Linked DNA regions of Caenorhabditis elegans. The protein of the gene in region 3 interacts with the protein of the main gene of each other region in a pairwise test. Each region holds a gene or a part of one and is shown on either strand. Other genes may lie near its edges. The genes, in order: C29F9.5, mmad-1 and pccb-1.

Evidence for each region.
Region 1: the proteins of pccb-1 (region 3) and C29F9.5 interact in a two-hybrid assay, tested with the Caenorhabditis elegans proteins (one large-scale study listed by BioGRID).
Region 2: the proteins of pccb-1 (region 3) and mmad-1 interact in a two-hybrid assay, tested with the Caenorhabditis elegans proteins (one large-scale study listed by BioGRID).

The regions. Positions count from the first base shown.
Region 1 is NC_003281.10:115,846-119,560, reverse strand, and holds C29F9.5 (histone acetyltransferase), read right to left. Parts: upstream 2,052-3,715; 5' UTR 2,006-2,051; coding exon 1,978-2,005; intron 1,932-1,977; coding exon 1,786-1,931; intron 1,743-1,785; coding exon 1,616-1,742; intron 1,333-1,615; coding exon 1,222-1,332; intron 1,168-1,221; coding exon 794-1,167; 3' UTR 647-793; downstream 1-646. Other genes in the region: C29F9.6 (histone acetyltransferase), read right to left, coding at 3,067-3,137, 3,185-3,610, 3,673-3,715.
Region 2 is NC_003281.10:13,546,301-13,551,041, forward strand, and holds mmad-1 (Methylmalonic aciduria and homocystinuria type D homolog, mitochondrial), read right to left. Parts: upstream 2,706-4,741; 5' UTR 2,705-2,705; coding exon 2,639-2,704; intron 2,472-2,638; coding exon 2,423-2,471; intron 2,371-2,422; coding exon 2,297-2,370; intron 2,136-2,296; coding exon 1,916-2,135; intron 1,615-1,915; coding exon 1,184-1,614; intron 858-1,183; coding exon 846-857; 3' UTR 589-845; downstream 1-588. Other genes in the region: Y76A2B.4 (uncharacterized protein), read right to left, coding at 6-129, 347-457.
Region 3 is NC_003284.9:3,088,582-3,092,988, forward strand, and holds pccb-1 (Propionyl-CoA carboxylase beta chain, mitochondrial), read left to right. Parts: upstream 1-1,845; 5' UTR 1,846-1,855; coding exon 1,856-1,912; intron 1,913-1,971; coding exon 1,972-2,091; intron 2,092-2,143; coding exon 2,144-3,152; intron 3,153-3,205; coding exon 3,206-3,630; 3' UTR 3,631-3,856; downstream 3,857-4,407. Other genes in the region: wrt-2 (WaRThog (hedgehog-like family)), read right to left, coding at 3,933-4,324, 4,376-4,407.

The DNA.
Region 1 (3,715 bases), on a different chromosome or scaffold from region 3:
AATTTCTTTAATGAGATACCAATAAGAATTCAAATAGTATTGGAGGTATACGAGTATCGTTACTCATAAACTGTTCGAAATCGCTTCGAAAATTCTCAAATTCTCTCATAAAACTTCATATTTTATGTGAAAATCAATGAAAATTGTGTATTTTTCCCCAAAAGGCACTAAAATGCAATGTTCAAGTGAAAATTTATGAGAAATTATTGAAGAATGAACAAGGATACCATTGGAGTAATCGAATATTTGAGGTGGCTTTCGCAAACAAAAAGAAGGGGCGCCATTTTACAACAACAACATACAACAACTGGATTATAGTTAATATCAATTGAATGCAGAATCGCGCCGCTCATCCACCAGTAATAAAATCTGTAAAACCTCTTTTATAAAAAATTATAATTTTCCATGATCAGGTGTTGCAGAAAAAACGCTTTTTTCAGTCTTTTACACGGCTAGGGACCTACAAATTAACATGTAAACTTAGATGTTATTAATTAACATGTAATCCGTAGTGAAAAAAAGAACACCAGGTGTTCCCCGTGACCTTGGTTATGTTTTTTTGTTTATTTAAGGTCTTTCCACTTCGAGTCTTCTGCATCAAAATTGAAAACAAATGAATTATGCCAGAGAGTAATTTATTTCAAAAAAAAATTCCAAGGATACAAAGTTCAGGAAACACTAGGTTAAACGAAGCTACAAGAGACATGGTTAAGATTCTTGTACTAACAGTTGGTAAATTCAGCCACTACAGTAGTGATTTGGTCAATTGAACATGAAATCTTTTGATAGGTGATTAGGAACCCTGGTAGTCCGTGGAAGTCCCCTCCAAGCGATCGTCAGCCTCATCCTCCTTCTCTGAACCATCACTTTCATCCTTCTCCTCCGTCTTCTGACGTCTTGGAAATCCTTCCTGGTAGCGGCAAACCTTCTCTCTAGCCATATGGTAGTACGCTTCCAGCTTTTGGGCGGTATCGAAGATCTGAAGCTCCGCAGATCTCGAGTACTCCTTCCAGGTATCCATTTGGGCCTCGGACAGGGTACCCGGCTTCACATTGGACATGATTCCCTTGTAGATCTTCTCGATGAGTTCGCTTCGGTAGGTTTTGGGGACTTCCAGGTGCCAGATCTGGTCGTGTTCTGGTTTTTTGGGCTCCGCAGGGGTGGTGTCTGAAAGAATAGGCCGATTTACTGAGCCGGTGGGGTAGAATCTCAAATAGTTACCCTGAGGAGGAGCAGTCCGCTGCTCAATAATCGGCTTGCACACTGGGCATTCCTCGTTGAAGCATTTCTTCCAATGGCTGAGGATGGTGCGGGAGGAAGCACAGTGGACCGCTGGAATTTCAGGGTTTGTGGGTTTTAGAGGAAAGACCTATGCTTCGGCTTAGGCTTAGGCTTAGGCTGAGGCCTAGGCTTAGGCTTAGGCTTAGGCTATGACTTAGGCTTAGGCCATGACTTAGGCTTAGGCTTAAGCTTAGTCTTAGACTTAGGATCAGGCTATGATGTAGGGTCAGGCATGGGACCAGACTTACAAGGCTCAGGGTCATTTCAGCCTGCTGAAACTCAAGCGCGGCACCGTCTAGATCCTTTTAGCAATCCTTCATCTATTTTCACTCACAGTTACACTTGGGTCCTTCCTTGCACGACGTCATATGCTTCAGCACCTCCTTCATGATCACACAATCCTGAATCTTACACATTGCATGAGGAGCCGGCTCGTTCTTCTCGGCAGCTTCACGGATTTTCTGTAAAATATTTCTTAGAACCCCCGGGAGCCCAGAAACTCACAATATCCCGACGGACACACTCGTGGGCGTGAAGCAGAAGCCCTAGTTGACGGGAGATCAGCGTGTTCATCGTGGCTGTTGAGACCCTGGGTTGTTGCTGGACGTTATCGGAGGTAACACAGATTCGGAGATTGGAGAGGTCCTCGACTGAAAGGTTCAGGCGAGATTAGAGGTGCGAAGGATCGTAACTTACTAAGCGCTTCCTCAAGGGATTCCGACATTTCTAGAATGGGTCAAAAGTTGGAGTAGAACCAGGAGATGCTGAAAACGCAACGAATTTCAAATTTTAAAAGAAAATTTAAGGAAATGAATGAAATAATTTGGCACACTTCTTTAAATACACCAATTGGCAAAGTATCTGGAACCAGTGTCACGCTATGAATGAGCTGTACCAAGCCCACGCAAAATTGGACACACATACATTGATTTTATTCAATATACACAGTAAATGTATAGGAGTCTCAGAGACACAGAGCGGGAGACCCCCCCGGCACCGGCTTGTGTTTCTCAATCACACATTTTCCCATAAAAAGTGTGTTGCGTGATATGTATCGCAATTTTGAACGAGTTTTTGGACAAAGTATCTGGAACCGTTTTGAATGACGGGTGATAATGTGGAGCTGGCCCACGCATGGCGTGTTGGAGCAGAATGATAAGGACCGCGAGCCCAAGAGCTTTGTCTGTGTTGGAAGGGACCATAGCTTATTAGGGGCTTGAAGCTGTGGGCCCGAAGCTGTGGGGCCCGTACGTGTGGGGCTAAATCTTCGGAAGCCTGTAGCTGTAGGGGCAGTAGATGTGAGGCCGTACTTTTTGGGCCATATCTGTGGTTCTCGTTCCTGTGGACCCCGTACCCGAAAGGACCATGTCTGTGGAGCTCGTGTAGGGACCCGTACCTCTTAGGTCCCGTACATGTGGGCCCGTTCCTGTGAGGACCATACCTGTGGGGGCCCGTACCTCCTGGGTCCCGTACCTCCTAGATTCCCCGCAAGGCCATGGGGGCAATTGTGGTGCAAAGGGACCAAAGCTGTGATGCTGAAGCCGACTAAGAATCTACTGAAAAGGTTCTTTCAGAATTTTTTACTTTTTTCCAAATACTGAAGTTTCAAGTAGCCCTTCACCCAGTTCTGAACAAAATTTTTTTTTGTTTTTTTATTCTACTGGTTTTCTATACTTTTTTTGAGCAATGATATAAAAATGTCAATTAACATAAGAAAAAGTCATTGTAAAGAAGTCCTTAAAATGAGAAGTATTGCAATTTGAGATTCTGTGAAGCTGGCGATCATCAGTCTGTGGAGCCCTGGAAGTCCTTGGAAGTGCCTTCCATATGATCAAACACCTCATCAGGATCTTCCTCTGAAAATCTTCCATATTACTTAAATTACACCTGACTAAAAGTCTACCTCCAGCCCCCTTCTCCTCTTTTTGTGCCTCCTGGCCAGGGCCCTCAGGAGCTTTGTCCTGCTCGCGGGGAGCTCGCTCCTCAACCATGCGGTAGTACTCATCCCTACTCCCCGCTGCTTCAAAAATCTGAAGCTCAGCAGCCCTCGCGTCCTCCTTTATCTTCCAAATTGGCTCGAATCTTTGCGGATGGAGCATGATGTGTTTGGAGATTCTCTCAATAACTGCCTCTCTATCGGTTTTCGGAACTTCACTGTGCCACGGTTGTGAGGTTCCTGGAGGTCTTGGCTCGGGATCCTTGACGATAGGAATTGTGCTCAACGCGTTCATATTCTGTGCAGTCCTGTGTGCTCCACAAATCGGGCATTCCGCATTGGTACAGCGTGTCCAATGGTGGATGACCATACGAGACGAAGTGCAGTGTTCGGCTGAAATTGAAGGGATAAGGTTACTATTGGGGGGGGGGGGGGGGGGGCTCTTCTGAACTTACAGGGACACTGAAACCCATTCCAACACGTCATCATATGCCCGAT
Region 2 (4,741 bases), on a different chromosome or scaffold from region 3:
CTCACTTTGTGCAATAAAAGCGACTCCAAAATTGAGAATCGCGGTGGCGAGGAAGATGGCGATGGAGAATGAGATGGGCAGAACACAGAAGATTAACACAATTTGGGTGGTGAATGTAGGTAGGGTTTTCTGAAAAAGTGGTTTTTTTAGGAAGTGTTTTTAAAATTGCATTTTAAAAATGTATTTTTTCTTGAAAAGCACTTATTTTTCTACAAACTTTTTTACTATGTAGGGTATTCAAAGTTTTTTGTAAAATTAGAAGCGATCACGAAAAAAACCTGTGACCGAGTTTTTCTCAAAACACGGCCACGAAATTATTTTAAGCAAAAAAAAATTCTGCACAAACCATAATCCGTTTCCAGTAAAACCCCATCGTCTCGAAAATCCGTGTCTCTGGGGGTTCTGATCGCTGCGACGTGTAGACGTCCGCCTCGTCCTCCTCACTGATGATCGTCATCTGGTATGTTTTTTTTTGCTAGAAAATTCAAATTTCCAGCTTAAACCAATTTCTTTAAAAGTTCAAAAAAGAAGAAAACTTTAAAAAATACCGTCAGATCAGTAACTTGAAAAGGTGACAACAAGTGAATTGTGGATTCTAACAAACATTTATTTTTTTCTAAAAAACAACCATTAAATTATTTACAATTTCGAGACAGTGCTTGCTTGCAAATTTCATTCATTTGAAAACCGCAAATTTTTAGTCTAAATTAAAAATTTTACAGACAAAAAAAAATTAGAAAATACGTGGAGCGAGGGACAACGGGTGCAAAATGGAAGGAGAATCGACTCATATTTATGGCATATTGTGGGCGGGGCTTCTACTGGAAAATTGCTCGATGGAATCTCTATTCGTCAATCTAAAAAAATTAACTTTTTTATTTAAGGAAGTCGAAAATTTATTCAATAAAATATCTCTTTGGTTTTTGAAAGAGCGACCTTTTTTAAGACTTTGTTTTATTTTTTGTGAAGTCGAAAATCGTACAAAAATTACAAAATGTAAGGAAATTCTGAAATTTTGTAGAATCCCAGAAATAAAAACATAATTTTCGTCCTTTTTTTGGAAATCTGAAAAATGATTATCATTATTAGATAGCAGGAAGAACATCAAAATAAATTTTTTCAAACATAATTTTACGTTTTTTTTTTTCAAAAATTCGGTTTCAGAAATTCCAACATCCTGTACCTCCTGAGTAACCTTCTTCAAAATATCCCTGACGGCATCCCCATCAACAGGAGCATCAGTGAAAATAGTTCCCACAAATGCGTTGGATCCCCAGCATGCGTGTTGCAGAACTTTGCAGCATCCGAGGTCTTCAATCTTGAAGCCCATTTGTTTGTAGGCGTCATTGGTCTCGAAAAGTGTATGATTGGTGTAATCACCCATATACGGGCGGCCGGAAGATGGATCAATGAAATCAGCCCAATAGCCGAAACGATGGAGAGTTGAGCAAATCGCGTTGGCGGACATGATGAATGAGGCGGTGAGCTTTTCACGTTCCTCTTCCATTGCTTCACTCCATGCTTTCATGTCGAATTCTGACTTTTGAGTTAGATTGAACACGGTCACGTTGTTCATCTTTTGAGTCTCCATTTGTGGGAATAGGTATTTCATTTCTGGAAAAAAAAATGATTTTTGAATTTATGAGTTTTAAATTCAAAATAAATTTTAAATTCACTTTTTGAGCTTCACAAATATTGCGATTTGCCGAGTATGACGACCACGGTAAATTTTTTAAAAAGTCGATTTACCAAATTTACCGCACACCCCTGCTAAATATAGTTCTGCAAAGCATTTTTTTTTTCAATTTTTCACTAATATTAACTCGAACGTAATCTCAATTTCCGATTTTTTGAAAGACTAATTTTTTAAAAGTTCATTTTCAGAATTTCTATAAATCCCAGCTTTCCAGCTCACCTTTTTTGAGCAACTTTGGTGCTTCAATAGCGGAAAGTTCAATCTCAACGTCAGCCGCATTTGCCTGAATCTCTTCCATTGCTTCTTCCTTCAATTGAGCCAAATGTGTACGGTCAACTTCGATATTTGTATTGGAGAGCAAATTGATCAAATTGTGCTCCGTATCGTCCATCACACGCTCGATTTTTGAGTTTTCCACTTGTTGGCGGATGCTCAATGGCTGCAAATTTTGAGTTTTTGAAAAAATTTAAAATTAAATTGGAATTATTTTAAATGGGTAAATTTTCGAAAATTCAAATTTTTTACATGAAATTTGATTTTGGAGTAAAAAATCAGATAATTTTGGGTGTCTGTTTGGAAAATCAATTTTCAGAAATTTACCTTGTGAGCAAACGAGACGTCTCCCTGGAACGGGTACTGACTGTCATTTGGGCCGAGAAGCGAGTTTTGGCGAGCTGAAATGTGGAAAAATTGTGAAAATGTCGATCGAAATTTTGAATTTCTTACGAGTTGTGCCCTTTCCGACGAACACGATTGGAATTGGGTCGATTTGGAGCTGAAAATTTGAATTTTATGATTTTCAGCACATAAGCAGCTAAAACGCTTACTTTTTTTCAAAAGAAAAATTGAATTATTCGGTAAATCAAAAAGAAATTAATTTTTCTGAAACAAAAGATTTTTCGATAAAATCTGCAATTTTTCAGCCATTATCCAAACTCTCACCTGCGTTGAAAATGCGGCAACACGTTGGGTAAACGCACGCATTTGGGGACCTTTGGCGGACAACATCCTGCAACAAAACTTGTATTTTAATTTAAAATTTTACTTTTAATTCGAAAGAAATCAATAAGGCAAGAAAAAACGAAGAAAATATTGAAAGACATGTTTGTTGGAAATTGAGTGACAGCTAGAGGGAGAATTACGCAGACGGTTAGAGAACACTGAAATTGGGGAGACCGCCGAGAAAACGAGAAAAGGGAAACCGAAGAACGAGCGCGACGAATCATGTGAACTTTATTATTATTATTATTACTGAGAACACTAGTAATTACTGATCAAATTAGTTGTTATCTAAATTCCTAATTTTTTGTTTCTATTTTTCAACCTTGTGACATATTGATTATATCATCAAAAAGGCGTGTACTTTTAAGAAGTACAGTAATCTTAAAGTGTTTCTTTTTTTTCTTTGACCTAAATTGTTAATTTATTGTGTTTGAGTATTAAACACATAATTCTAAGATTGCGTACTGTGCAACATATTCAACGAGTAAAACATCTCGTTGCAAAAACTACAGTAATTCTTCAAATGACTACTGTAGCGATTGTGTCGATATACGGCCTCGATTTAAAAAACATTTATTTATCGATAGAACATTAAAACTAAGCAAAAAAAGAGATAATAATACGAAAAAACAAAGTAACTCCCACTATTCGCAAATAATTTTTTTTTTCACTATTTGAGCCCGTAAATCGACACTACAGTAGTAATTTAAAGAATTACTATAGTGTTCGAGAATTACTATCTCGTAAGATATTTTGCGCGTTAAATATGTTAGTTAATACGCATTCTCCGAATTTTTCACAAAATAAAAAAGGTTTAAATACATAAAAAACCGAGACAAGAACAACGATTCTTAGAATTCTTCCAAAAGTTCGAAAACTCGAGAAATTTAAAAATTCAAAAAGAAAATAAAATTTAAAAATAATCTTTGAAAAGATTTAAAGCCAAAAAGTTAAAAAAAATCCAAAAATCCAAATTTACTATCATTAAAAAGCCTGAAATAATCTGAAAGTCTTCGAAGTCTTGTTCAAAGCCAACTTTTTTGTTTTGATTTAAAATCTGTTGGGTGAACGTGAGAAGTGCAACAATTCAAGAAAAGAGAGCGAAAAGACAACAAGTGTAACGATGAAAGAAGGGTCACAGTTGTTGCACGTGAAAAAGAATTGTCTAGAGGCGAATAGAAAGTTTTCGGATTTTCAAAGTCCACTTCGGAGTTTTTTTCAGTGGACTTTCGTGATGTTGGAACCCAAGAATGCAATTTTAGGTTCTCGATATTTTTTGAAAATTTTCTAAAAAAGAATAAACACTTTTAGAATTGCAAAAAAGAAATATCGATTTTCGAGCTTTTTTTTCAAAATTTTGAGTTTTCGAACGGTTTTTCTTTAATAAAATTATTTATCGCATATTTTTGAAGTTTTTGAAACCTTCCAGTTAGTAATCGGAAATAAAATTTTCTCTAAATTGTCTCAAAAAGCCAAATTTGAATGGTAGCCAAGAAGTGGGAGGAGCTGGCACTCGGACTTTTTTTTTCAGAAATTAATTATTAAAAATCGAGTTATAAAATTTAGCAAAATATCTGAAACAAGGGGTTTTGGACCACATTTAAAAAAATAATTTTTAAAGTTATAAACAAGATCGCTTCATTTTATGGTGCAAGACAACTATGTATAGAAATTCTATAAAAATCTGGAAATTTTCAAATTTTCAGTAGGAAAATAAAATGGAGTATATATATATATATATTTACATGTCAAATGGTACAAGAATATCTCGGAATAATTTTAGGGGGATTTTGGGGACCCGTGTGCATAATAAATTGAACAAATCAAAGTGAGGAGCTGGTGGGGAAAAACGGGGATTCGGGGGAAATGGTGTGAGTGATGAAAATGGGAAGAAAAACAAGTAAAGCTATATTCACAAAATTAACAGAGACTGAAAATATTATTTTTAGAGGGAAAAGTTGAAAATTTGAGAAAAAAACCGATGAAGGTTTGAAAATTGGATTTTTTTCAAAATTCGAAAAGTTTTTTCCAAATAAACCAGTT
Region 3 (4,407 bases):
CAAAATATTTGAATATCATAGTAAAAGTTTTCAAAATTTTTTTAAAGTTTTCATTTACTGTCGAAAAGTGACAATCGCACGTGGTGTCAGAATGTCCCATTTCGTTGTGATCTACCAAAACTGCGGGAATTTAGACGCAGACTTCTCAACTGGTCTCGCATGGTTAAGAATGAGCTGACGTCACATTTTTCGGGGAAAAAATTCCCGCATTTTTTGTAGATCAAACTGTTATGGGACAACCTGACACCACGTGCAATCGCTCAGTTTTTGCACTCATAACTTTGGAAGTCGACCAAAAAAAAAGTTCTACGATTTTTATACTTTAAATTTGATTTAATTATTTGTTGTAAAACATTTTAGGGGTTAGAACATGCAATATTGCTCTGTGTTTCCTCAAAAGCTCTTTTTTGTTATTTGGCAGATTGCTAAAACATTAAAAAAATCTAAAATTTTCTGGTTGGTTTTATTATAATCTCCGATTTTTTTCAAAACATAAACATAGTTCAAATAATGGAACAAATCTATATTGTGAACAAAAGTGAGGAAAAATTTTATAAGTTAATGTTGTAACAATAAAGATTACAAAACTATTTCCAAAGTTTGTCTTCTCTCAGATATTTTTTGTTTCCATACACTATTTTAGTGCAAAGAGCAAAAAAATTTTCAACAAAGTTTCTGAGAGAAATTCTAGAAAATGTTACTTTGGAGTGATTTGGGAATTTTTAAAGTTTTGAAAATGTACCATATTTTGCATGTAGAATGCCACATTTTTTATCAAAAATGAGCCTAATGTTTTGAGAATTTTTAAAAAATCCTTTCGATGCATTTAAACATTTTCTATCAGGTTTCTACTTATATCGTGTTATCGTTTACTTTTTCCTTTTCAATTTGAAAAACCAAAGACATCACTTTTGTTATTCTCTCTACTTTTTCTTTTGAAGAACCTTGATTCGCAGGACATGTTTCAATGAAGTCGGAGAAGGTAAGAGAAAAGTGACAAGTGGTCTACAACGTTTGTTTTCAATTTGCGACACTGCACGCACAAAAACGCTCCGTTGAGAACCGATTTGATCTTGCTCTACGGCGTACAGTTTTGTGTTGTTATTATGTTGTTTTGATGTTGTTTCGATGGTCCGTCAATATCGACTGTCCTTCACAGTTAGTCTTCGAGCGGTGGTCTCTTGTGTCGCCTTTTTTTCTCATTTGTCCTCCCCCCCTTTACCACTGCGCAAATAGATTTGGGATCTAATGTATGTAAGTGCGCTCTACCGCAATCAATGGGTTTCTCCAAACAAATGCCCTTGCCATTTGAGAAACGAAACAGAATCTCTTGAAAACATTTCTGATAACCGATTCGTTTTAGTTTTCTACAATCAACTTCAAAGAATAATCATTATCTATCGATTCACTGATATAATTCTCGTGTTGTGACCTTATCAATCGACAAACAAGTCGATTACTCTGAATGTTCACATCAAAAACTCCTCACCCGTATTGCCGGCGTTAAAGTGAAAATCTTGAAACGATGGTAAACTATTATTTTTTGTTTTGTTGCCTACGTGCTGGCCCCCGACGTGTCCATCTCTATCTCTCTTCCCCGTGACCGTGGTGTGCACTGCTGCCGGGCGCGTTTCTCCCCGTCCTGTTCTCCTCACATCCCTTTCTGCGCGCTGCAATCTTCTAAATGTCACGCACACAGCAAAGTTGCACTACACTTGTTGGGACCTTCTTCTCTCCGAGCATTGACCGCTCAGTTTTTGTCCTCCCTTTTTCTCTTCTTACTCAAATTCTTTTTATTTTTCTTATCTACATTTGAAAAACGTTTCTTACTTTTCACTTTTTGAGAGCTTTGGGTATGTTGTCCCGATTTGCCCGTCAACTGGCGCTGCCAGTTTTCAACGGAGTTCTTCATGTGAGTTTATATTAGGAAATAAGTATAGGAAATAAGTTATAATGAACTATATTTTTCAGCCAACTCGAGCCACCAGTTCGATCGCTCATACCATCAAGGTTGCCCATAAGATCGATGAGACCAGAGAGAAAGCTCTTCTCGGAGGTGGAAAGAAGCGCGTCGACGCTCAACATGCTCGCGTAAGACATTTTTCCAAAAAAAAAAACCTACTTATATGAAAAAATTTTGCAGGGAAAGCTAACAGCTCGCGAACGCATTGATCTTCTTTTGGATAGAAACACCTTCAGGGAGTATGACATGTTTGCCGAGCACACCTGCAACGACTTCGGTATGCAGAAAGAGAAATATCCTGGAGATTCGGTTGTCACTGGACGTGGAGAAATCAACGGACGTACCGTCTTTGTTTTCTCCCAAGACTTCACTGTTTTCGGAGGATCTCTGTCATCCATTCACGCCAAAAAGATCGTCAAGATCATGAGAGAGGCCATGCTTGTCGGAGCCCCAGTCATCGGACTCAATGACTCCGGAGGTGCCCGTATCCAGGAAGGAGTTGAGTCGCTTGCTGGGTATGCCGATATCTTCCAAGAGAACGTGATGGCTTCTGGTGTCGTTCCTCAAATCTCTATGATTATGGGACCATGTGCTGGAGGAGCCGTCTACTCGCCAGCTCTAACCGACTTCACTTTCATGGTTCGTGATACCTCCTATTTGTTCATCACTGGCCCAGATGTTGTCAAAGCTGTTACCAACGAGGAGGTCACCCAGGAGGAACTTGGAGGAGCTAAGACTCACACTGTCACCTCTGGAGTCGCTCACGGTGCTTTCGACAACGATGTTGATGCGCTCATGAGCCTCAGAGAGCTTTTCAACTATCTTCCACTCTCCAACACTGATGCTGCTCCAATCCGTGCTGCTGAGGATCCATGGGACAGAGCTGTTCCATCTTTGGATACTGTTGTTCCATTGGAAAGCACTGCTGCCTACAACATGAAGGACGTTGTTCACGCTCTTGTCGACGAGGGAGATTTCTTCGAGATTATGCCAGACTACGCCAAGAACTTGGTCATTGGATTCGCCAGAATGAACGGACGCACTGTCGGAATTGTTGGAAACAATCCAAAGTTTGCTGCTGGATGCCTTGATATCAACTCTTCCGTGAAAGGAGCTCGTTTCGTCCGATTCTGCGATGCTTTCAACATCCCAATCATCACTTTGGTTGACGTTCCCGGTTTCTTGCCAGGTAAATTTTCCCGATTGAAAGTATTTCAAATATTAAATCAAATATCTTTTCAGGAACTGCCCAAGAGTACGGAGGTATCATCCGTCACGGAGCCAAACTTCTCTACGCTTTTGCCGAGGCCACCGTTCCAAAGATTACCATCATTACTCGCAAAGCCTTCGGAGGAGCTTACGATGTCATGTCATCAAAGCATCTTCGTGGAGACATCAACTACGCCTGGCCAACTGCTGAGGTTGCTGTGATGGGAGCCAAGGGTGCAGTCTCCATTCTTTTCCGTAATGATAAGGAGCACGCCGTTCAACACGAGGAGGAATACACTGAGCTGTTCAGCAACCCGTTCCCAGCCGCTGTCAGAGGATTCGTCGACGACATTATCATTCCATCAGAGACCAGAAAGAAGGTGTGCGAGGATTTGAACATGCTTGAAAGCAAGAAGTTGAAGAACCCATGGAAGAAGCACGGAAACATTCCACTCTAAATTTCCAGCACTACCCACTCCGCCTTAATCCATACTATTATGTTGCCATTTCACCGGCCTGCTCGGTATTTGACGTGTTTACTTGTGAATTTTCATCCCACATACAAAATGCGCCATTTGCGTATTCCAATTGTTCGAGTATTATTTCCTTTTTCCGTTTTTTTGTTTTGTAAAGTCATAATTGAAAATTGTATTTATTACTGTTCTCAGATAAATAGTAGATTTTTGTGTTATTAGTACGAGCTTTCGAAATGGGACAAATGAAATCATATGTGATAATTGAGGCTAGCTAGTTGGCGCTTTTAGAGGACTCCGAAAAATTTGGCAACACTGGTTAGAATGGCACGCTGGACTGGTGGGATGACCTGCTCAACATCTTCTACGCTTGGAATTTGAAGCTTTGGAAGATCCTCAAGTTTTGGGAGGGTCATTGGTGGAAGTGTAGATGTCATTTGAACCGGCATTTGTGGAAGAGCACCAATTGGCATTTGTGGAACTCCTGCTGCTGCTGCTACTCCTGGCTGAGCGACAACTTGTGGAGCTTGGAACATCATTGGTTGTGGGAACTGTGGGAGTGGGGCAAATCCAAGTTGTTGCTGTGGCTGAGCTGGTTGCTGCTGTTGCTGTGGTTGTGCTTGTTGTTGCTGCTGCTGCTGCTGCATCTGTTGTTGTTGCTGCTGCTGGTTAGCATAAACTGGAAAATGGGATATATCTCATTGTGATTCTGAAATTAGGCGATGCTAACCTTGTTGCTGGAATGCTTGGTGCTGTTGTTGA